2 linked regions of the Macaca mulatta genome follow. The main gene of each other region encodes a partner of the protein of the gene in region 2 in a complex. Links are inferred from orthologs where the notes say so. Each region holds a gene or a part of one and is shown on either strand. Other genes may lie near its edges. The genes, in order: DRC12 and DRC1.

Region 1 (12,873 bases), on a different chromosome or scaffold from region 2:
GGTGGGCCTTGGGGTGGGCACACAAGTGTATATACACCTTTCAGTGCACAGAAGAGGTGTCCCTGTCTGAGCTCTGGCCCTGGGCCGCCTCTTCCTGTTCACTCCGGGGTCAGTCCCCTGGTGTGCACACAGTGGCCTAGGATAGCTGGAGGGGAGCAGTGAGGATGTGTATGCCCCAGGACAGTTCCTGTGGGAAGTGGACCCGGGACTGCCAGCCAAGAAGGCTGGGATGCAGGCTGGGGACCGGCTGGTGGCTGTGGCTGGGGAGAGCGTGGAGGGGCTGGGCCATGAGGAGACAGTGTCCAGGATCCAGGCGCAGGGCTCCTGTGTCTCCCTCATTGTCGTCGACCCTGAGGCTGACCGCTTCTTCAGCATGGTGCGTGCTGAGGGGCAGGGGCTAGGGTTGGGGCAGGAGTGGAGCAGGGCTTGGGTCCAACAGATTTGCTCTACCTGCCACCTTCCAGGTTCGCCTATCCCCACTCCTCTTCTTGGAGAACACAGAGGCTCCCGCCTCTCCCCAGGGCAGCAGCTCAGCCTCACTGGTTGAGACAGAGGTCCCTTCGCTTGAAGACACAGGCGTGCCTTCTGTCCCTCTGGGCTCCCGACAGTGCTTTCTGTACCCTGGGCCTGGTGGCGGCTATGGCTTCCGACTCAGCTGTGTGGCCAGTGGGCCTCGTCTCTTCATCTCCCAGGTGACTGATGCCCCATGCATCTTGGATCCCTTCAATCCTTTGCTGCCTGATCAGTCTTCCTCTTCTTCCCTCCCAGAGCCTTAAGCCAGCAAACTTTCCCCTGGTGTCCCCTGTTCTGCATGCCCCCACACCACCAGGTGACTCCCGGAGGCTCAGCTGCCCGGGCTGGGCTGCAAGTGGGAGATGTGATTCTGGAAGTGAATGGGTATCCTGTTGGGGGAGAGAATGACCTGGAGAGGCTTCAGCAGCTGCCTGAGGCTGAGCCACCCCTCTGCCTGAAGCTGGCAGCCAGGTCTCTGCGGGGCTTGGAAGCCTGGATTCCCACTGGGGCTGCAGAGGTGAGGAAGAAGAAACGGATGGGACTGTGAGTAGTTACAGAGGGCAGGGAGGAGTGAGAAAGAAGGGCAGAGTGGGCGAGGTACAAGGTGAAGCAGTGTGGGGTATGCAGGTTGGGACTTCAGGTTGTGGTAGGTGGGGACAGAAGGACCCGTGAAATAAGCCCCATTCCTGGGCATTGCAGGGCAGGGGTGAGAAAGAAAAAGGAACTCTTCTGGGTGCCACCTGGAATGACCTTCTACCTCCTCTCTCTGCACAGGACTGGGCTCTGGCCTCGGATCTGCTGTAGAGCACCTCTGCTTGGTACAGACATACTCAGGGGCTACTGTGTCTTCACTCTCCAGCCCGAGGTGGTGGAGGCAGGATTGCTCTCTCTAAGCCAGACTGGAGGAACTCAGGCACCACCGATCACAGGCTGGCCCAGGTGCTCCCCCACTTCCTGCAGGCCCACCTTCTAGCAGAGGGTGTGGATGGAGGCCTCAGGCAGGTTCCTGAAGGAGTCTGAGGCTCCAGAGGATGTCATATGGGAGTTTGGAGAGCTGTGTCCCAGGGATGAAGGTGTGGCTGTGGGTCTGGCTAGGATTGAAGCCATCTGGACCTTTTCTAGATATGACTCCAGGACACTTGAGTGTAATGCAAAAATGTGGAGACCAGCTATGCCTGTCTTCTGTGGGTGCCTCAGCATTGCCGGAGGGTGGTGCTTGGTCACCGTTGCATTTGTTATAGAAGTGGCCGTTCCCCATAAATCTGACTGCCTGTGTTTGTGTTGGTGGGGGTAAGGGGCAGTGGTGTGAAGGGACCAAAAGGGCCTCAGGCTCAAGGGGTGGGATGCGGCTTCTGCAGGAGAAAAGGTGAGACCTGGTCAAATTTCTTTCCTATCACTGAGTCTCAGGGATAATGGGTCAACCCAGAACTGAGATGTCTGCATGAGAGCCACTCCTAAAAATAAACAAAACAAAAGAAAAAAACAACAAAAGAAGAAAACTAAATAAAAATAAAAATAAAAAAGATCCACTCCTCTCTGCCAAAAGGCCAGAGCCCACAGCTCTACTGAGTTCTACATCAAGACACTTTATTGCTGGCGCCTCAGAGAACACTAGAGACTAGGGGCTGATGGCCTCAAAGATCCAGGGCGGTGAGTCCAAACTGGCGTAGCTGCTCCTTGTGCCTGGCATGGAGTCTCAATGCCGTCCCATCCCACTGTGACTTGATGGCTCTCAGCTTGGCCAAGAGCCTGTCCAGACTGTCCTGCAGACATCAATATTTCAGCCCCCAGGAAGAGACAGGGAAGGAGTGAGGGCTGCCCCAGGTTGGTTTGTAAGCTTTCCTTGCCCAGTAGACATGGTTGTATCCCCTCTCTGCCCTCAGGATAGAGCGGGGCTCCCTTGGAGATACTTCTTCTCCTTACCCCTGGGTTGTCAGTCATCACACTAGCTGGGGTTTGTGGGCATGGGGGAGTCCTGGGTACTGGGATGACTGGGATCCAGGAGGTGGTGCTTACCTGTAAGATTTCCTCATACTTTGCCTCCATGTCTGCCACGTGGGTCCGAAGCTGAGACAGGGCCTGGTCCCGCTCTCTTAGAGCTTGTTCAGCCTCTTCCCGGGCAGCCGCAGCTTCCTTTTGGCATGCCTCTGGGGGCAGGCAGGATGAAAGACAGCAGGATGGTGACACTCTATCCTTGACCAGTCTCCAAAGGTATCTGGAAAGGAGACCTTGAATGGGCTCATTCCAGACTCCCCCAGCATCACCAACTTTCCTGCAGTCCCTGTAAAAGCTGAAGCTCCACTGAGGTGTAGCAGAGAATGGTGGGCTTGAGACAGAAGGCTCCAAAGTCGGATTACTACCTAGGTGACCACAGACATGTCTCTTTCTGAGCCTCAGTGTCTTCATCTTTTTATTTATTATTTATTTATTTAGATGGAGTCTCACTCTGTCACCAGACTGGAGTGCAGTGGCATGATCTCGGCTCACTGCAACCGCCGCCTCCTGGGTTCAAGCAATTCTCTTGCCTCAGCCTCCTGAGTAGCTGGGACTACAGGCACATGCCACCACGCCCAGCTAATTTTTTAATTTTTATTAGAGACAGGGTTTCACCATGTTGGCCAGGATGGTCCCTATCTCTTGACCTCGTGATCCGCCCACCTCAGCCTCCCAGAGTGCTGGGATTACAGGCGTGAGCCACCGCAGCTAGCTGGTGTCTTCATCTTTAAAGAGAGAATGACACATCTCTCAGGGGTATGCTGTGACCTTTAAACACGATGATGGATGACAAAGCACCTAGCTAGTATACAGGAAGTGCTCCGTAAACATTGATTCATTGGCCGGGTGTGATGGCTCACGCCTGTAATCCTAGCACTATGGGAGGCCGGGGAGGGCGGATTACCTGAGATCAGGAGTCCTGGCCAACATGGTGAAACTCCCATCTCTACTAAAAATACAAAAATTAGCCAGGCATGGTGGCACACATCTGTAATCCCAGCTACTCGGGAGGCTGAGGCAGGAGAATGGCTTGAATCTGGGAGGCAGAGGTTGCTGTCAGCCGAGATTGCGCCATTGCACTCCAGCCTGAGCAACCAGAACGAAACTGCGTCTCAAAAAAACAAAACAAAACAAAACAAAAACAAAAAACAACAACAACAACAAAAACAATTGAGTTATTGATTGACTTGGAATTTGAGGTAAAGCAAAGATTAGGAAAGGAACCCAGGGTCTGAATGGCAGATAAGCAGCTCCTGGCCATCTATAGCTAAACCAAAGGCTTTTTTTTTTTTTTTTGGTCGGAGTCTTACTCTGTCACCCAGGCTGGAGTGCAGTGGTGCGATCTCGGCTCACTGCAGCCTCCGCGTCCTGGATTCAAGTGATTCTTCTGACTCAGCTTCCCAAGTATCTGAGATTACAGGCACATGCCACCATGCCCGGCTAATTTTTGTAATTTTAGTAGAGACGGCATTTCACCATATTGGCCAGGCTGGTCTCGAACTCCTGGCCTCAAGCAATCCTCTCGCCTTGGCCTCCCAAAGTGCTGGGATTACAGGGGTGAGCCACTGAGCCCGGCTGAAGGCATTTTTAAGGTATGAACACTTTGGGACCAAAATTGTGCAAGAGCTCATGTGTCATGCTGAGATATTTCAACATTATTTTGTAAGCAGGAGGCAAGAGAAGAGAAGCAATGGCTTCCTAGTTTTTAAAAATATTTTTGCTTATTGGGAGTGTTTATTCATTTATTTAGTGAACAGTTATTTAGGACCTACCGGGTGCTAGGTCTTGTAAGTAAATAAGTCAAACATTTTCCCTTAGTTTCGTTGTAGAAATCAGCTAAACTAAAAGGGAATATGTTTTGCTCACAAGAGACATGGCAGTGGTGGGGAGTTAGGTAGGGCTGGACTTGGAGAGGAGGAAATGGGGTGTGACGCCTACCTCTTCTTTTTTATTTTTATTTATTTTTTTGAGACAGAGTTGCTCTGTCGCCCAGGCTGGAGTGCAATGGCGCGATCTCGGCTCACTGCAACCTCTGCCTCCCGGATTCAAGCAATTCTCCTGCCTCAGCCTCCCGAGTAGCTAGGATTACAGGTGTGCGCCACCACATCTGGCTAATTTTTATATTTTTAGTAGAGACAGGGTTTCGCCATTTGGCCAGGCTGTTCTCGAACTCCTGACCTCAGGCGATCCGCCCGCCTTGGCCTCCCATAGTGCTGGGATTACAGGCCTGAGCCACTGCGCCTGGCACCTCTTCTTTACTTACAACAGAGATTCTTGGCATCCCGAACCCTCTGCTCCAGTCCTCGATGGTGGAGGGTCAGTGAAAGTGGGGAAAGTGATCCCAGAGCCCGGGTGGCAGCTTTCTGGAGCAGAGACTTTGAAGTCTGCCCCTTCATGCTGGCCCTTGCTGCAACTCTTGGAGACAAGGGGCTTGGGGGGTGGGGAAACCTACCTAGCTGCCCCCGAAGGCCCTTGACTTCTTCCTCCAGCTGCTTGCTGCGGGATTGCATATCCTCCTGCAGGGCATGGCACTGGCGACTCATCTCTGGGGTGGGGGCAGTAGGCCGCCAGGGACCCAGGTCGGAGATGGAGCGATGGAGAAAGGAAATGAAGTTGTGGGTGGGGAAGACTCTACTTGGTCTAGTGGAACAGGAGCACAAAGGCCTTCTTGGTTCTTCTTTTTCTTTTTTTTTTTTTTTTTTTGAGACGGGGTCTCGCTCTGTCGCCCAGGCTGGAGTGCAGTGGTGCGATCTTGGCTCACTGCAAGCTCCGACTCCCGGGTTCACCCCCTTCTCCTGCCTCAGTCTCCCGAGTAGCTGGGACTACAGGCACCTGCCACCACACCCGGCTAATTTTTTGCATTTTTAGTAGAGACGGAGTTTCACCATGTTAGCCAGGATGGTCTCGATCTCCTGACCTCGTGATCCGCCCGCCTCGGCCTCCCAAAGTGCTGGGATTACAGGTGTGAGCCACCACTCCCGGCCCATGGTCTTCTTGGTTCTTTTTGTGATTCTGAGAAGCTAGAGACCATGAAAACCTGAGGAAGGGAAAGGAAGCCCAACCCACCTCCCCCACCGTCCAGCTTTGGATGGGGATGCTAGTCCTTCTCCCCTCCCATAGGATGGTTGAGGTGATGGCTATGACTGCATGCGTATCCTACACAGCATCAAGCACATGGCACCAGGCATCCTGGCAGGCCCCTGCCTGGGATCCCAGGAACCTACCTGCCTTTGATTCCTGCAGGATCCTGCCTGATTTGTACTGTTCGGGGAAGACCAAGACCAGGCCTGGCAGTTGGAAGCCCTCCTTGTTTCCCTTCCTTGCATCATCTGACCCTGCTGGTTGTCTTCCTCCAGGCCCCTGTCTCCTGCCCACCTGCTCAACAGACCACACACCTGCATATATGGCCTTCCCTTCACTTCGGGCCCCTTCCAGCTCAGCCTCCACCCTTTGCAGCCTCTGCTTCAGCTGGTCTTCGGAAGCCTTGGCTCGACGGGCTTCATCCCTCCGTAGAGCTGTGAGCAGTCCCAGAGCCACTGTCAGGACTGGCTGGGGCCCGCTAAATCAGCCCCCATGAACTTGATGAATTTTGCCCGTCTCTAGAAATCTGGTGGCGGGGCGTCCAGCCTCTTATTCTCTCTCTGGGTTTTGTTGTTTTTGTTTTTTATCCCTAGAGTCTCACAGGCTCCTCATTATTAAGAAGTAAAGACTCTCTCCATGTTCTGCCTATACAAAATAGCTTTCCGGATAGCCCGGCATGGTGGCTCATGCCTGTAATCCCAATATTTTGGGAGGCTTAGGTGGGAGAATTGCTTGAGGCCAGGAGTTTGAGACCTGCCTGGGCAACAGAGTGAGACCTTGTCTCTATAAGAAAAATAAATAGGGCCAGGCGCAGTGGCTCATGCCTGTAATCCCAGCACTTTGGGAGGCCAAGGTGGGAGGATCATGAGGTCAAGAGTTCGAGACCAGCTTGGCCAACATGGTGAAAACCTGTCTCTAATAAGAATACAAAAATTAGCCGGGCGTGGTGGCTGTGTGCCTGTAATCCCAGCTACTTGGGAGGCCGAGGCAGGGGAATCACTTGAGCCTGGGAGGCAGAGGTTGCAGTGAGCCAAGATCACGCCACTGCACTCCAGCCTGGGCAACAGAGCACAGGACTCTGTCTTAAAAAAAAAAGATAGTAAAATAAAATAAAATGAAATAATAAAATAAAATAAATTTTAAAAAAGAAAAATAAATAAATAAATAAAGTAGCTAGGTAGGGTGGTGTGCACCAGCTACTCGTGAAGCTGAGGTGGGAAGATTGTTGGGGTCCAGGAGTTTGAGATTACAGTGAGCTATGATCACACCACTGCAGTCCAGCCTGGGCAATAGAGCAAGATTCTGTCTAAAAAAAAAAAAAAAGCTTCCTTTATCAACTCTCACTGCCCACCCCTCTCTCATTGTCTTTTTCCACTAGGGGATGGTTAGGGTTCAACTTAGCCCCCCACTGTATCTCCAACTCTCCAATCCCCCAGGATACAGAAATGCCCCATTTCACTTGCCCTGTTGCCCACCCCCATGCCAACTTCTACCCTCCTTACCCAAGTGATCTCGGAGCAGCTCCTTCTCCAGCACCACCAGCCTGTGCCTGGACTCAGCCTCCACATCTGCACCTGCTGTGGCAAGTGGCAGAGCCTCAGCTCTTCGTGATCTCAGCATTCCTCACTCTCCTTGCGTCCTCACCCCACACCCTGCACTTTTGCCACAGGAGACCTGAGGACCACTAAATGAGGGATCCATGGTGGCAGAGTCTACTGAAGTCAGCACTGTGTCCTTACCAACCAGCACATAACAGATATGCAAAATACACATGACAAATATATTAGGAAGGCACAAAGCTAGATGGTGCTTAAAGGAGAGCGTGAGTGACCATTTCCCCACTTCCTCAGCTCCCTGCATCTGACTTCAAGGACACGAAAGAGGAAGGTCAAGAGAGTTCCATCCTGTCATGTAGAAGGCTGAATTCTCTCTGGAGGAGCTCTGCGTGGTCTTCATGCCAGAACATGGAGAAGCAGGGGGCACCTCCACCCACCATGACTCACCCCAGTTCTTTTTCTTCTGCGCCCCAGATTTCTTCCCTTTTTCTTTGTTTTTAAGTGGCATCTCCTTGCTGTCCTGGGAGAAGGAGGGGACCTTATGTTTAGGTCTGGACACAGGGATGCTTTCCTGACTGAATCAGGAGTCTCAGGGGAGTCTCCTGGTTCTACTCCAAATTTGTATCTCATACTCTTCAGAAAAGTCAGTTCACAGTCTCTTTGGAACCTCAGGCAGGGTTGGGGTCAACGGGGAGGGTGAAGTTTTTTCTCTCAACCAGGCTGACTGTACGGAAGTCACTCCTCACAACTCTCTTTTAGATAAATCCCTGTACCTGCTCCCCTCCCTCTTCCCATCATCCTCAACCCCCTCTTCCTACCTGTAGGATCCTCTCCTGCCAGTGTTGGGGCTCCCTGTGGAGTGACCCACCCGTGGGGAGTGGCAGAGAGAAGGCCCAACTAGCGAGGAGCCTGAGGCGGGGCCTGGGTCCTGGGAGCCAATCCTTGGTGACAAATTTCTCTTGAGGGCAGGACTGAGGGCTGGAAGGTTGGGTTTCGGGAGGCTGTATGTTGTCCAGGCAACTGGGAAACATGGAGTTCGTAGGAAGGTGGAATGGGCTAAATCAGCTCACAAAGCTTAAAATATCAAGGTCTCAAAGGGTCAGTTCTTTCCTTATCCCAAAACCCTAAGTATAGTTTGAAAAGAAAGGGCTTTGGAGGCCGATTGGTTATGATTCATTGCCACGTAGACATGGCCTGCAATTTGGAGACTTCCAAATTCAGATGTACACATCTGAGATAATATGTTGTGCTGATACAGAGGAAAAGGACTGACAGTAGCCATGTTGGACAATTGACATCCCGAGGTCCCATCAGCAAAATGACATTAGTAGGTTTAAAACTGAAGATCTAAGCTGGGGGCGGTGGCTCATGCCTATAATCCCAACATTTTCAGAAGCTGAGGCAGGAGGATTACTTGAGGCCAGGAGTTCAAGACCAGCCTGGACAACACAGTGAGACCTCATTTCTACAAAAAATTAAAAAATTAGCCTGGCAGGGTGGTGCACACCTGTTAGTCTCAGCTACTCGGGAGGCTGAAGCAGGAGAACCACTTGAGCCTGGGAGGTTGAGGCAGCAGTGAGCTATGATTGCACCACTGCACTCCAGCCTGGATGACAGAGGGAGACCCTGTCTCAAACAAACAAACAAACAAACAAACAAAAACCCCAAACCACTGAAGATCCTCTTCAGTACACTGTGGAATGAGGGTAATAAGTACAGGAATAGGTAGTCGAGGGCGTTTCCCACTTCAGAGAAATGAGACACAAAGGAACAGCAGACCCATGGACTCTAGGGTACTGACCTAGAGGGATGCAAGTGTGCAGGAAAGTGCTCAGGTTAGAGACAAGACATTTGAGTTTGAGTCCCAACTGTGGATATGTAAACTGAGGCAAGCCATTTGACTTTGCTCAGCATCAGTTTCCTGATCTTTAAATGTTTGATTTTGTAGCTCTTGAAAAGCCTGTGTTTTAGCTAGGTGTTTACATGGCTATCTTCTCTCCTAGTTACTTAATCTATTGCTACATTTCCCCATTCCCTTGTGTGGTTGATTTTCAGACAGGTGTTGAGACATTGCTTTGTGAGGCTCCCTGCAGCATAGAGTTGGTTGGGGCTCCCTCTAGTGGACTTGTTTGACCTTCTCCTGAGTTTCCCACATTTTTGCTTTTAAATTATTTACTGGGCAATATTGGGGGTGACTCCCTTTGGGGATACTTCTTAGTGTCCTGCTGGAGCCAGGAGTGGCTGGAATAATTAATGTGGGGGAGAGAGTATGACGGGTGGCCCTCCCTTGTCAGGCAGCCTTCACTCTCCCTGCAGCTCTGTGCTATCCTGAGGCTTGCCATCTATCTGCCACTTGGATCTCTGGGCACCATACTGGTTAGAGTGAAAACAGCAGACACTTCAGGGCTTTTCTCCTTTTGGATTAGGGGACCTGCAGACCGTTTCTTTAGGTTTTTTGTTTGTTTGTTTTGTTTTTGTTTTTGTTTTGAGACAGAGTCTCGCTCTGTTGCCCAGGCTGGAGTGCAGTGGCACGATCTCGGCTCACTGCAAGCTCCACCTCCCGGGTTCATGCTGCGACTGCAGGCATCCACCACCACGCCCCGCTAATTTTTTTGTATTTTTAGTAGAGATGGGGTTTCACCGTGTTAGCCAGGATGGACTCGATCTCCTGACCTCGTGATCCACCCGCCTCGGCCTCCCAAAATTCTGGGATTACAGGCGTGAGCCACCGCGCCTGGCATTTTTTTTTTCTCAGTGTCTCTCTCTGTCACCCAGGCTGGAGTGCAGTGGCATGATCACGGCTCACTGCAGCCTCAGCCTCTCCAGGCTCTGGTGATCTTCCCACCTCAACCTCCTGAGTAGCCGGGACTATAGGCGCATGCCACCACACCTGGCTAATTTTTATATTTTTTGTAGAGACGGGGTTTACCATATTGGCCAGCATGGTCTTGAACTCCTGGCCTCAAGTGATCTGCCTGCCTTGGCCTCCCAAGGTTCTTGGATTACAGGCGTGAGCCACTGCACCAGGCTATCTTTTTTTTTCAGACAGAGTCTTGTTCTGTCACCAGGCTGGAGTACAGTGATGTGATCTCGGCTCACTGCAACCTCCACCTCCTGGGTTCAAGCAATTCTCTGCCTCAGCCTCCCGAGTAGCTGGGATTACAGGCACCCACCACCACGCCTGGCTAATTTTTGTATTTTTAGTAGAGATGGGGTTTCACCATCTTGGCCAGGTTGGTCTTGAACTCCTGACCTCGTGATCCACCTGCCTCAGCCTCCCAAAGTGCTGGGATTACAGGCATGAGCCACTGCGCCTGGCCTTCTTTCTTTAGGTACTTCTCTTCAACTCTGTCACCCTCAATATTTTTGGTCCATTGCCTATTGTCAGGAGCAGATCTGTAGAAATAGCCACAAGAGGCTGGGCATGGTGACTCATGCCTGTTATCCCAGCACTTTGGGAGGCTGAGGTGGGCAGATCATGAGGTCAGGAGTTCAAGACCAGCCTGGCCAACATTATTAAACCCTTTCTCTACTGAAAAATACAAAAATTAGCTGGGCATGGTGGTGTGCGCCTGTAATCCCAGCTACTTGGGAGGCTGAGGCAGGAGAATCGCTTGAACCCAGGAGGTAGAGGTTGTGGTGAGCCAAGATCACGCCACTGCATTCCAGCCTGGGCAACCAGAGCAAAACTCTGTCTAAAAAAAACCCGTGGTCTCTGCAACCCCTTATTGTGATCCAGACATTCCTTTCTATTGATTCCAGATCTTTAGATAAGAACTCTTTCAAGCAATTGTCAATTGGAAAATCTCTGAATTCACTTATGACCCGGAACCTAATTCTAACCCTAATTCCCTTACCCACTTCCTCACTTCCAGTTGTCCTGCCTTTCTAGACCGAACCAATGTACATCTTACATGTATTGATTGATGTCTTATGTTTTCTTAAAATGTATAAAGCAAGCCGGCGCAGTGGCTCACGCCTGTCATCCCAGCACTTTGCGAGGCCAAGGCAGGTGGATCACCTGAGGTCAGGAGTTCAAGACCAGCCTGACCAACATGGTGAAGCCCTGTCTCTACTACAAATACAAAAAATTAGCCGAGCATTTTGGTGGGTGCCTGTAATCCCAGCTACTTGGGAGGCTGAGGCAGGAGAATCTCTTGAGCCCGGGAGGTGGAGGTTGCAGGGAGCCGATATTGCGCCATTGCACTCCAGCCTGGGCAACAAGAGTGCAATTCCGTCTGAAAAAAAACAAAGATGCAAAAAGCCAAATTGTAGCCTGTTCACCTTCAGCACTTGTCAGGATCTCCTGAGAGTTGTGTCACGGGCCATTGGTCACTCATATTTGGCTCAGAATAAATCTCTTCAAATATTTTACAGAGTTTGACTCTTTTCTTTGACATGAGACTAATGTTAATAAGTTCTGATAGCCCACTACCATCAGACCAGCTTCTTCTAATCTTGAGCATGTTTTTCATTTATTCTCCCTCCACCACCTCCTTCTCCTGTGCTGTAATGCAGTGGGGGTTCCTGTCCCTGTCCTCCTCATCTAGAAGCCTGTTTGGGAGGTTTTTCTTTTTCTTTTTTTTTTTTTTTGAGACGGAGTCTCGCTCTGTCGCCCAGGCTGGAGTGCAGTGGCCGGATCTCAGCTCACTGCAAGCTCCGCCTCCCGGGTTCACGCCATTCTCCTGCCTCAGCCTCCCGAGCAGCTGGGACTACAGGCGCCCGCCACCTCGCCCGGCTAGTTTTTTTTTTTTTTTGTATTTTTTAGTAGAGACGGGGTTTCACCGGGTTAGCAAGGATGGTCTCGATCTCCTGACCTCGTGATCCGCCCGTCTCGGCCTCCCAAAGTGCTGGGATTACAGGCTTGAGCCACCGCGCCCGGCCTGGGAGGTTTTTCTTTCTTTCTTTTTTTTTTTTTTTTGAGACAGTCTCACTCTGTGGCCCATGCTGGAGTGCAGTGGTGTGATCTCAGCTCACTGCAACCTCTGCTTCCTGGGTTCAAGAGATTCTTGTGCCTCAGTCTCCAGAGTAGCTGGGATTACAGGCATGTGCCACCACATTCAGCTAATTTTTGTATTTTTAGTAGAGATGGGGTTTCACCATGTTGGCCAGGCTGGTCTGGAACTCCCAATCTCAGGTGATCTGCTTGCTTTGGTCTCCAAGTGTCAGGGTTGTGTGAACCCGAGCAACTCCATCTTGAAGAGGAGCTGGGTAAAATGAGGCTGAGAACTACTGGGCTGCATTCCCAGAAGGTTAAGGCATTCTAAGTCATAGGATGAGATAGGAGGTTGGCACAGATACAGATCATAAAAACCTTGCTGATAAAACAGGTCGCAGTAAAGGAGCTGGCCAAAACCCACCAAAACCAAGATGGTGACGAGAGTGACCTCTGGTCGTCCTCACTGCTACACTCCCACCAGCGCCATGACAGTTTACAAATGCCATGGCAACATCAGGAAGTTACCCTGTATGGTGTAAAAAGGGGAGGCATGAATAATCCACCCCTTGTTTAGCATCTCATCAAGAAATAACCATAAAAATGGTTATGTCTATGGAGTCACCATTCTTCTGTTCCAACACTTTCCTAATAAACTTGTTTTCACTTTACTCTAGAGTCGCCCTGAATTCTATCTTGTGTGAGATCCAAGAACGGTCTCTTAGGATCTGGATCGGGACCCCTTTCCTGTGACAAAAGTGCTGGGATTGCAGGCATGAGCCACTGAGCTTG
Region 2 (12,150 bases):
AAATTGTTGTTGTGATATTAAGGGAGGAAATTAGGATATAAAATTGTAGACATAGTTTGATTCCAACTATGTAAAGGACACTGGGGGGAAACATGCCAGCATTAACAGAAGTTGCCTTTGGGGGTGGAATTTTGGGTAGCCTTGCAACTTCTTTCTCCTATGTCTTCTTTTTCATTTGCTGTACTTTCCAAATTTTCTACAATGAGCAAATATTGCTTTTGCACTCAGGAAGAGTTTTTACAAAGAAAAATGTATAACTAGAAAGGGTAAATAAAAAATAAGTAAGTAGAGAAATTGAGAGGTAGGATTAGTTATGATCTCAGGGACTCATATGGTTCTTCATTCACCATCTGTTAAAAGATATTACAGGCTTCTGTTCTGAAGGAGACATTCAAATACTCATCTCATAATGGAGATTTAAAAATCCCTGCGGTGGTGATGTAGAATATTCTTGACTAATTCCCCCATGACAATGTGTGTGGGAATCACCGGATTCCACAGCAACCATGGAAATGATGTGCTTCCTGACCCAATGGAGCGTCACCTCCTAGCCAGGAGCCCTCCTGGAGTATGACCCAGAGTGGGCTGTGATAGCTGCTTGGAATCACTTCCTCTGTTGACTCCTGGGCCAGAGTCTGTAGCCTAACAGAGGGAGACGGGACAGAGGCTGGAGACAGCACGCACGTGGCAGTTTTATCGAGTTTCTGATTCCACTTGATTGCCTTCCCCATTCCTGCATTTCACTCGGGAGAGGCAGGAGCATGCCAGCCTCCAGCCTTGCCTCTCTCTGATCTTTTTTTCACAAACTGTCAGGGTGATCTTTCTACAGTGACTGGACCAACCATTTTCCTTCCCTGCTTAACATTTTTAGTGGTCCTCCCTTGACTTCAGGATAATGCTTTAAATTCCTAGCTTGGGAAGGCTCTGCTGCTCTGTCAGCCTCATTTCTGACCATTCCTTGCCTCGTGCCTCACATCCTAAACTTCTTGTGGTTTTCCCAAAGCCTCATATATGCTATTTCCTCTCTCTAGAGTGCTCTCCCTTCCGGTGTCACCTGTGTAACTCCAGCACATTCTCTAGGTCTCAGCTAGACACACCATCTTCCAGGGATGATTTCCCTGGTCCCTCAAGACCAAGGACAGTGCTCTTGTCATTGGTCCCATAATGGTCTGGGCTTCCCTCTATCTTGCCTCTTATCCCTAGCGTTTGTTTATCTGCCTCTGTTCTAGACGGGTCAGGACTATGCCTTTCTCACTGGTGTTTTCGCAACGGCACCTCAAAAAGTATCTCACACAGATTAGGCACACAATAAGTATTTGCTGAATGAATGAATACAGCTAATGGAAATCCAAAAAGTAAGGATGACTGTGTCTGTCCTTTTAAATGAACCTGGGTTGCTAAACACTAACACTTCCACCCTGGAAGGTCAAAGTGGGGGAAATTTCAAGTTTTTGTGGCCGTATTTATTTCTATGGTGTTTTTAGCGGGGCTACTCATATTTCTGAAGGGTCTGGAGAAAGTTACCGGAGTTAGTTGGACTTGAAAGCTCTGTGATCTTTCTTAGGCGTTAGGTATACAGATTTTAGTTTACAGTTCATTGACTTGTATTTTATCTGGTTGACCTTTAACTTGACTCTCATGATAGATTTTCTAAGAATGCAGGCTGAGGCACTTGTCCCTAAGGTTCCTCTGACATGACTTGAACAATTTATCAGAAGCCTACAAGCTAGGGCCAACTAGTGTGTGAAAATATATATATATTTGTATTTCAGAGCATACCTTTATTTGTGTACAATTTTAGGTATAATTCACAGGGCAGATAAGCTTATAAATGTAGGAAAGTTTATTTTTGTATACTTCCAGTATAAACTTCTACCAATACTTTTACCTCTTTATTCTTTATGAATGTAGGTACAAAGATAAATACATCTGAATATGGAGATGCATAGTTAGGTAAATAAACATACATAAGCAGGACTATGTAAGTATATCTATGTAAATATTTACCTATACAAAGCATGTTCCCCAAAAGACATTTTAAATACGCTAGTGTATATAATACTAAGGATGCAGGTGTAGAGTTAGTGTGTGTGTGTGTGTGTATATATATACACATATACATAGATATATATATAGTTTTTTTAAAATTTTAGATTCTTGAGCAGCAGCTTCAGCAGAGGAAAGCAATTTATCAACTAAACCAAGAGAAATTAGAGTACAACTTGCAGGTGCTGAAGAAGAGAGATGAAGAAAGCACAGTGATTAAATCCCAGCAGAAGAGGAAGATCAATCGGTAAGCTAGCATGCAGAGCGTCTTTCTTCTGGGCTCTCTGTGCTGAGAATAGGGATGGATATGTACTTTTTTCTATTGAAGGGGTAGAAACCATTAAAAATATAACCAACACTTATTAAAATAGTTTTTTGGAGAAGTTAATACATTCAAGTGGTTCCCCTTCTCTCCCCAAGAAAAGAGAACATAGCAAAAGATTTTCCATCCCCATTCATCTTGTTCCTCTTTCCCACCTCTATAACCAGTTTGTCTCTTCCAGAATTTCATTAGGCATATACAAGCCCACACAAATATTCTCATCCCCCATCTGCTTTTACGCAAATGATGGCAGTCTGTACACACTGCCGTGTATCTTGAAGACCTTTCCATCCCAGTTCATAGAGAGCTTTTACCGTTTGTTAAGCTGCTACGACCCACTGTATAGATACACTATGATTTATTTGACCAGTGTCTAATGATGGACATGTAGATTGCTTCCAGCCTTTTTCCCTTGCAAATAATACCAACCTAAGTACTCATGACATGTGCCAGTTTGCTTTTGTGGAGATACCATGGCTCATTGAAAGGTACCTATTGCTTGAAATTTCTCACACATCTTCCCTTCTTCCTTGTCTCCTTAGTCCCATCCTTCCTGCCTTTCTTCCTTTAGGAATTGCATTCTAAGTTTCAGACCACTGTGTTAGGCTCTGAGGACCAGAGTGGAATAAGATTTCTTGCTTGTAGAAGGAGACAAGATTGAGGATTTCCCTCCAAACCCCAAATAGCCTATTATTATTTATGAATTCTTCCACTTGTGGGTTGGTAATACGTACATTTTGGACACATGTTGAATGTATAGACGAACATCAGTTGACATTTTGGTAGTTACTTATCACAGAAAATGATACTGAATAAATGGGATGGCATCTTAAGCCTGATTATCTGAGAAACAAGAATAGTCAGGGGACAATATTTATGAAAAAATTCCCACTATATAAGCCCCATACTAGATAGGGGAACATCCAAGAAAGACACACATCAAGACAGTGAGGAGGCACCTGGGAAAACTTCCCAAAGAAGTGAAATACTGGAGGGGGTGGGGACATGAACTGGCAAAAGGCAGTTAAGAGGAGACTCCAGGTGGACAGTGCTGGCAGCTGGGAATGGCTGGTCTGAAGGCAAGGAGGTAGGATTCAGGAAGTCCCACAGTGGGTGTAGAGAACGGGTAAGGTGGGAGGCGGGAGGAGGCGCTTGAGGCAGAGCTTGGGTTTGATGCGTGTGGCTGAGAGATGAGTGGAATCTTCCCTCTTATTTCAAACTCAGACATCTTTCCCTCAGCCTGAAAAACCCTTCAACGGACCCTGCCATTTCTAAGCACCATCTTTTCATTTCTTGCTTTCATTGCCATTTTCCTTTCCTCCTCATCACCACCCAACATTTCATAATTTGACATATCTGTTTGTGCTGCTATAACAGACTACCTGAGACTGGATAATTTACAAAGACGAGTTTATTTCTCACAGTTCTGGAGCCTGGGAAGGCCAAGATCAAGGCTGGCAGGTTCAGTTTCTAGTGAGGGCTGTATCTTTCAGAGGGGAGGGACGCTGTGTCCTCACTCAGCAGAAGAATGGGAGAGCAAGCTGGCCTAAGGCTTTGGGAGGCCTGTTTTATAAGGGCCTTAATCCCATAATCCCATTCATGACGGGGGAGCCCTCATGGCCTCATTACCTCTTAAAGGCCCCACCTCTTAATATTATCACATTGACAACACTGAATTTTGGAGGAGTTACATTCAAGCCATAGCAACCTATGACCCCAGGATTGTACAAAAACTTCCCAAAGTAGGATACCAATGATGCCCTTCTAGCCAAACGTAGTGACTTCTCCTCAGGCCTCATCCTATTATGATTGGATACTGGGTTTTCTTCTTCGGTTTAAGTGACCCTAAAATATTTGCCCTTCTTTCTTAATTTATTTGTTTCCTTTGGTGGTTCTGCTTTTCCTTGCTTGATATGTCTTGAGTATCTAGATAAGGTAATCTAGAAGACCCAGGCCTTACCATTGCTTTTAATTTTTATTTCATCTGCCACACACCTCAATCTCATGGTTTTGAATATCCCCTTTTTGTTGATGACTACCAACTTCATATCCCCAATCCTGAGCTCACCTTTCATTTACTTGGAACTGCCAAGGTAACAGTTCAGCTTGGAGAGGCCCTGTCATTTCCAGGGCACAGTTTCTGAAACCAGACTTGCCTTTGCTCCCTGTTTCCAGTTCTCCAGCTTTACTCCTCTGCATCTCTAGCTTCCAGGCACTAAGGACTCTGGACTTTTTGTTGAACCTCCTCTTGCAACCATTCTTCCCTGTTGACTTCCTCTCCTGCTATCTTGCCCGGACCTTCAGTATGCATCTGGAGTTTGTTTTGGTAGCTTTTGTAATTAGATGACACGTAGGAACTCCTTTACCACATGACATTGGGAAAAAAACCACTTTGGAATGACTACTTGTTTTTACTTCTGTGCTTGGAAAGCCTGCTTTAGTTAAGAAAATGGGTTAGCTGTTTCTTTCTATCAGAGACTAAGGTAACTACTTTTTTTTGCATTTTCTTGACGATGAAAATATGAATGATGAATGTTTGCATTTGAAAGGCATTTTGATCATTTCAGAATAATGCTTAGGAGATGGAAAATTTTATTTTTAGAATTTCTAAACTTAAAATATGTTGGCCTTCAACTTCTCTGTTACTGTGTGAATGAGACACTGATAAGAGACACCTCTGTAGCAGTTTGAAGTCTGAAGTATGGACCTGGGTCTAAAAATTGTGCCTGCCATGCATATTTTATGGGCCACGTTTCCATGCACAGAGCTCCTGTTAGCAGTGAGATGGTGAGCTGTGCCATGCCTGGATTCACAGTGCTATTGGACAGGTTTTAACTGCCTCTTGCTGTTCTGGAAATTTTGGACCATCCCCTCCCCTGCAAGCCTTGGTAAGATAGATGCCTCACCTCTGGGCTCCCCTGACATCCTGCATAAAACTCTCCTATAGCACTTGCCATGCTGTACTGTAATTAACGTTTGTCTTTGTTTTTGACTAGACTGATAGTACCTGTCAAAGATAGTATTGAAACATATCTTTGTATTCATCTTTGTCTTTCAACATATCCTTGCGCGAAAGTGGCATTTCATGCTTGTTTAATGATAAGTGAATGAGTGAATGAATGAATGAATGAGTTACTGGACCTGTTAACGGTATCAGCACTTTGAGGCTGGAAGATTTATGTATCATATGCATTTTTTTCTTTAAATTTTCCTTGCTTCATAATTGAATTAAACATCTAAGTCATGACAATGAAATAGTTGAGATAGATTATTTATTTATTTATTATTATTTTTTATTTTTTTGAGACGGAGTCTTGCTCTGTCGCCCAGGCTGGAGTGCAGTGGCACGATCTCAGCTCATTGCAAGCTCCGTCTTCCGGGTTCACGCTGTTCTCCTGCCTCAGCCTCCCGAGTAACTGGGACTACAGGTGCCTGCCACCACACTACCTGGCTAATTTTGTTTTTTATTATTTTTAGTAGAGATGGGTTTTCACTGTGTTAGCCAGGACGGTCTCGATCTCTTGACCTCGTGATTCGCCCGCCTTGGCCTCCCAAAGTGCTGGGATTATAGGCTTGAACCACTGCACCTGGCCGAGATAGATTATTTAAATATGTGAGGCTGGCCCTAGGTATGGGTATGGGCATTCTGACAAATGATGTGTTGTGAAGAAGGTTCTGTTCAGTCTTGAGTAGGAGGCTGCCTCTTGGTGGGTATGGGCTCTGGATTGCTTTCAATGCATTTCGTTTTGGACTGTCGCATGACCTCCTGTTGCCTTCCTTTTGTTGATCAAAATGGGATCTGTGTTTTGGAATATATGGGAGGGTTTTCTGCTCTTCCACAAATCTGCTCCTGAGTTTGTTGTAGAGCTGAATCAGGTGGATGAGAGCAACATACGTCCGACCTTCTATTCAGCTGCAGACTAACTTTTTTTTTTTTCCTTCAACCAGCCTGCATGATATACTTAACAATCTGAGATCAAAATATGCCAAGCAAATAAAGCAGTTTCAGGAGGAGAACCAGTCTCTAACCTTGGACTACAAACGTCTTGTGTTGCAATTCAAGGAGCTACAGAAAGCCATGCGGTATCTTAAGGACTTGGTCCTAAGGCACTTGTCCTAGCATAGAGGTGGCGGGGATGGAGTTTGTACAGGCTGTGATTTCGTTGGACTTGATATGGCCAGCTATTTTGGAGTTGGACCAGGCATTAGTTAACCCTTTGTGGTGTGTTCCCCTGGTCCTTCACTTGCGTATCACCTGCCTTTTCTTGAGATGTGTTGGGATGGCTTCCAGTTTACTGTAAGTGGGAATCAGCTGCCCAGGGATGGGGCCACGCCCAGGAATTAGCACAGCTCCTTTTCATGTTCTTTCCCTGCTGCCAATTGAGGGGACCCTGGCCAGGCCCTGGGGTCAGCTGGCCATGCTCTGTGACTCTCCTTCACAGGCATTTTGCTCTTATTGATGATGAGAAGTTTCGGGAGATTTGGCTGATGAATGAAGAGGAGGCAAAGGATCTAATAGCCAGAGCCTTTGATGTGGACAGGATCATCCACACCCATCATCTGGGGCTTCCCTGGACAGCACCTGATTTCTGGTTCCTGAAGAATGTTGGGCCTATTTCTCAGCAGCCCCAGAAGTCCGCCACACAGATAGTAGAAGAAATGCTCATGCACACAGGTGACTAGAACGTTGTCGTAGAACCTTAGAGCTGGAGGAGCCCCCTGAGAACATCGGGTTAAGCCAGTCATGTTAGAGATAGTCTAGGGAGGAGGGGGAAGAAATCCCATAGCTAGGAGGTGGTAGAGTATGATTATGGATATAGCTTGTAAGTCTCCTCTAATTTATAGCTTTGCTCTCTCCCCTGTATTATAAACTGGCAGTTAGGTCTAGAAACTTGATCAGGTGCAGGTCCAATTTATTTTTGCTAAGTACACTACTGTGTAGTACCTCCATTGGGATAAACTAATGTTAAATTGTCTCTCTTTTTGTGATGTTAGCAACCGTTGCTAATCATTGTCTAAGATCCATGAACTGTATTAGGAATTGCAAAATGGTGATATGTTAAATTCTATTCTTGTGTCTTTATTTAACAGTTAGAATACTTATTAAAAGAAAACTTTTCCTTCATCAGCAATTTGCTACCCTGAGATAGTCTGTATACGAAAAGCAGGATAGACGCTTATTTTTTCTCGCTGACCAACTTTCAAAATAATGGGTTGGTCCTCTAGCATCTTCCAAAGGTACCAATGAGTTTTTAAAAAATATTATGAATGCATGAATTTAAACAAATTTGATGTATTTTAGTTTACAAAAGTAATTATCCTTACTGAGGCTCAAATTCTTCCATCTTTGGCTAGTGGAAATCTTCACATTGGCTTCTAGGTCCTTTTGACTCAGCCCTAGTAGTTATTTATTTATTTATTTGTTTATGTATTTATTTATTTTTGAGACAGAGTCTTGCTCTGTTGCCAGGCTGGAGGTCAGTGGCGCGGTCTCGGCTCACTGAGACCTCTGCCTCCCGGGTTCAAGCAATTCCCCTGCCTCAGCCTCCCGAGTAGCTGGGACTACAGGTGTGTACTGCCACACCTGGCTAATTTTGTGTATTTTCAGTAGAGATGGGGTTTCACCATATTGACCAGGATGGTCTCCATCTCCTGACCTCCTGATCCCCCCACCTCAGCCTCCCAAAATGCTGGGATTATAAGTGTGAGCCACTGTGCTTGGCCAGCCCTAGTAGTTTTTTGTTTAATAGCGTCCTGGCTTTCCAGGATGACCAGGTGTTCAAGGCACACATTATACTTTACCTGCCTCAAGTCTGGAATCAGTCATTTCTCCAAGGATCCCCTGGTCCTTTTTAATAGGGATTTTTTTTTTTTTTTTTTTTTTAGATGGTCTCACTCTGTCACCCAGGCTGGAGTGCATTGGTGGGATCTTGGCTCACCGCAACCTCTGCCTCTCAGGCTTCAGCAATCCTCCCACTTCTGCCTCCCGAGTATCTGGGACCAAAGACTCATGCCACCATGGCCAGCTAATTTTTGTAATTTTTGTAGAGACAGGGATTTGCCATGTTGCCCAGGCTGGTCTCAAACTCCTAGGCTCAAGCGATTCCTTCCCAGAGTGCTGGGATTACAGGCATGAGCCACCATGCCTGCCCAGGGAATGGTATTTAGAAACCACACTGTGGCTGCTGGGTGCTCATTGTTTTGGATTGGCCGTTGTTTCTAGGCCTTTTCAGTGGACAGAGCCGAGAGTATAGGATTTCTCACCCCTGTAATCCCAGCACTTTGGGAGGCCAAGGCAGGCGGATCATCTGAGGTCAGGAATTCGAGACCAGCCTGGCCAACATGGCAAAGCCCCATCTGTACTAAAAATACAAAAAATTAGCCAGTCATGGCGTGCGCCTGTAATCCCGGCTACTCGGGAGGCTGAGGCAGGAGAATCGCTTGAACCCAGGAGGTGGAGTTTGTAGTGAGCCAAGATTGCACCACTGCACTCCAGGTTGAACAACAGAGTGAGCTTCTATCTCAAAAATAATAATAATAATAATAATAATTAAAAAAATAAAAATAGGCTGGGCACAATGGCTCACATCTGTAATCCCAGCACTTTGGGAGGCCAAGATGGGAGGATCATGAGGTCAGGAGTTCGAGACCAGCCTGACCAACATGGTGAAACCCTGTCTCTACTAAAAACATAAAAATTAGCTGGTGTCACGGCAGGCATCTGTAATCCCAGCTACTCGGGAGGCTGAGGCAGGAGAATCGCTTGAACCTGGGAGGCGGAGGTTGCAGTGAGCTGAGATTGCGCCACTGCATTCCAGCCTGGGTGACAGAGCAAGTCTCCGTCTCAAAAAAAAAAAATTTATCTGTGAATGTGCACAGCCACCCACCCCTGCTTTGAGTTGGCTGCTTCTATCTAATCTGTCGCAGGTTTAGAAACCATAGAACCACTTGCTAGATCATCTCTGAAATAAGAATAAACGGTCTCACACTCTCCCTCCCACTCCCTGGTTCATGGCTGGATTTTGAGTATGATGTTTCCAGGCAGATGCATTTTGGAAAAGTAGGGCATTACAGGCTGGCTGGGAATGGCCGAGTTCTCCAGGTAGTCTCTGATTCCGATCCCCCAGCCCTCCTTCCCCCTACGTAATAGGCTTTTTTCATCATAAAGAGACTGTGAGAATGCCTCACAGAGGCTTTTTGAGAGGTACATTTTTTCAGAGAAAGCCATCTGACTGTTTCTCAGAGTCAGCTAGGTCCAGAAATCTTCTTCTTTTTCTCTCTCTCTCTCCTCCCCCTGACCTGTCTGCAGAAGAGGAGGAGGCAGAAGAGGCCGCCTCGGAACCAGAGTCCTACCTGGACCTGCCGAAGCAAATTTCTGAAAAAACTACCAAGAAGATCCTGATGCTCCTGTGTGACGAGTCGGTGAGGCCAGGCGGGGGCTGCAGCAGAGGGACTCGCGGGGGTGTGCAGCTTCCGAGGCCTCTGCCGGGCCAGTGCTAGCCTGGAGTCAGGAGTGGGCCAGTCCTTCCCTGGCCAAGCCCAGGGTTGGGGCCTGAGGAGCAGAGTTGGGGTGGCCCCTGGACTTCAGGGCCAGTTCACAGAGGGCTTGCCTCTGAGCTGGCCCAGCTGGAAAATGGGTCTAACCCTGGTTGGTCAGCATGGCACAGTTCAGGCCAGCTGGAGGGCTCCTGCCAGCTTAAAATGATGCTGCTTCTGAGACAGAAGTGGCACCAGCTCCCCTCCATGAACCAACTTGCTAAGTGACGTGGCCATACTGACATGGCCCTTCTCAGGCGCTCGTGTTGGGGGCTACTCTGGGTATGTTAGGATTTGGATGTTTGCATTGTGTGTTAGCAAATATGGTTAGACTTAGAATAAAAGCTGTATTGAGCTGGTTCAGCTGGAAGTCGGGTTTTGATCAAACATGGGCAGTGTTGGTTTGGATCTTATGGTTCTGAAGTGGGTGTTCTTTTGGGATAGTGGGGGCAGTTGCCTTTGGCTGGCTCCTGCCACTGAGGGCAGCTGCTGCTGAAGGGGTCAGGTGGCAGGTTCTGCCCTCTCAACCTGCAGCTGGATGCAGAGACCCATGGAGCCCTCCCCCAGGCATCCCAGCTCAGAGCAGGCACCGTGTCTGCTCAGCCGCCCTCTCCCCTCCACCGCAGGTGTGCCGTGTTTTGGTTTGGGGTGCCCACTGCCCTCCGTGCCTCCCTGGCCTGCTGCTGTGTTCTGTAGATATTTGGGGACAAGACTATGAGTGAAGCAGGAGCCTGTGACTGGGTCAGCTTTGGACTGTGGTGGGGGCCTCAGGAGTTTGCCCAGTGGCTTGTGGGTGAAGTGGGTTGGTGCCCTTCTGGGTGGGAAAAGCTAAGTCTGTGGTGAGGATGGGCTTTGTCCCTGGCCTTGCTTGTCCCTGGCCTTGCTCCCTGGGGAGGGGGGTGCTGATGGGCACCCTGAGAAGGCTTTGCTGGGGCCCACTGCTGGCTCCCATCCCTGTGTGTCTGCTCCATGGCATGGTCCCTGGAGTGTTACACAGGGGGCAGCTGCAGACCCTGGGGCTCGCTCCTGAATCGTTTCCCCGACAGGAGATGCCTTCTTCCTTCTCCCCAGGGGTTCCTCATAGAGAGCAAGCTGCTGAGCCTTCTCCTGCCCCTGGAGCAGAATGAATGCTATCTGTTGAGGCTGGACGCCATCTTCTCCGTGAGTCCCACGGGGCTGGGAGGACACGGGCAGGGCTGAAGCCAGCTGTGTTCTCAGATGGCCCTGCCATTGCCTCAACCCTGGCAGTGGATGAGGGTCTCCCGGGGCTTCCCCTGCTCCCTGTCACATCCTTCCCTTAACCTGCTCTCCACACAACACATTGGCCTCAGACTCGCTGCTGTGTCTCCCACCCCTGCCCCTTCCTCTACTAGCATCTTCCTCTCAGGTTGTAGGTTCTCCCCGACACCCCCAAACTCAGATCTGGTCTCCCCGACACCCCCAAACTCAGATCTGGTCTCCCCGACACCCCCAAACTCAGATCTGGTCTCCCCGACACCCCCAAACTCAGATCTGGTGCAGCCCCACTTGGTACCCTCACAGCCAGGGATCCATATGGAGCAGTTCCTGGCTCTATGAGCATTGTTTCTGTGTGTTCTGATGTGTGTGTCCCCAAGTTCACAGTCGCTTCCCAGCGTTGGATGAATGCCCTCCATAAGCCAAGCCTCCTGCTCTTAGGAGCTGAGCATCCATCAGCTGCCCAAGCCCGTGGCCTCTTTGATGGGGTGTTTGAGCAACCATCCTGTTTTTTGCCCCAGGCCCTTGGAATTGAAAGTGAAGATGACTTGTATAAACTGGTGAACTTCTTCCTTAAATATCGAGCTCACCGTTTATCTTCCAGTCTCCAGGTAAGGCAAGGTGCAAAGAGAAGAAAGCATTTTATTTATTTATTCATTTATTTATTTAATTATACTTTAAGTTCTGGGATACATGTGCAGAACATGCAGGTTTGTTACATAGGTATACACATGCCCTAGTGGTTTGCTGCACCCATCAACCCACCACCTACATTAGGTATTTCTCCTAATGTTATCCCTCCCCTAGCCCCCAACCCACTGACAGGCCCCGGTGTGTGATGTTCCCCTCCCTGTGTCCATGTGTTCTCATTGTTCAACTCCCACGTATGAATGAGAACATGCGGTGTTTGGTTTTCTCATCTTGTGGTCGTTTGCTGAGAATGATGGTTTCCAGCTTCACCCATGTCCCTGCATTTTCAATTCTCCCAAAGCCCCCAGAGCATGGTACTG

What was found.
Region 1: DRC1 (region 2) and DRC12 share a complex: the UniProt entries of both Homo sapiens proteins name them as parts of the nexin-dynein regulatory complex. The link is inferred for Macaca mulatta from reciprocal best matches to the Homo sapiens genes DRC1 and DRC12.

Annotation. Positions count from the first base shown.
Region 1 is NC_133419.1:119,877,839-119,890,711, forward strand, and holds DRC12 (dynein regulatory complex protein 12), read right to left. Parts: upstream 8,222-12,873; 5' UTR 8,177-8,221; coding exon 7,964-8,176; intron 7,666-7,963; coding exon 7,593-7,665; intron 7,167-7,592; coding exon 7,092-7,166; intron 6,024-7,091; coding exon 5,904-6,023; intron 5,140-5,903; coding exon of another isoform or gene 5,054-5,139; coding exon 4,961-5,053; intron 2,729-4,960; exon of another isoform or gene 2,661-2,728; coding exon 2,530-2,660; intron 2,277-2,529; coding exon of another isoform or gene 2,272-2,276; coding exon 2,125-2,271; 3' UTR 2,079-2,124; downstream 1-2,078. Other genes in the region: NHERF4 (Na(+)/H(+) exchange regulatory cofactor NHE-RF4), read left to right, coding at 180-376, 465-692, 830-1,030, 1,288-1,317. UniProt on the Homo sapiens protein: Component of the nexin-dynein regulatory complex (N-DRC), a key regulator of ciliary/flagellar motility which maintains the alignment and integrity of the distal axoneme and regulates microtubule sliding in motile axonemes.
Region 2 is NC_133418.1:98,559,399-98,571,548, reverse strand, and holds part of DRC1 (dynein regulatory complex protein 1), read left to right. Parts: intron 1-2,153; coding exon 2,154-2,293; intron 2,294-6,316; coding exon 6,317-6,451; intron 6,452-6,810; coding exon 6,811-7,043; intron 7,044-9,677; coding exon 9,678-9,790; intron 9,791-10,975; coding exon 10,976-11,065; intron 11,066-11,661; coding exon 11,662-11,751; intron 11,752-12,150. UniProt on the Homo sapiens protein: Component of the nexin-dynein regulatory complex (N-DRC) a key regulator of ciliary/flagellar motility which maintains the alignment and integrity of the distal axoneme and regulates microtubule sliding in motile axonemes.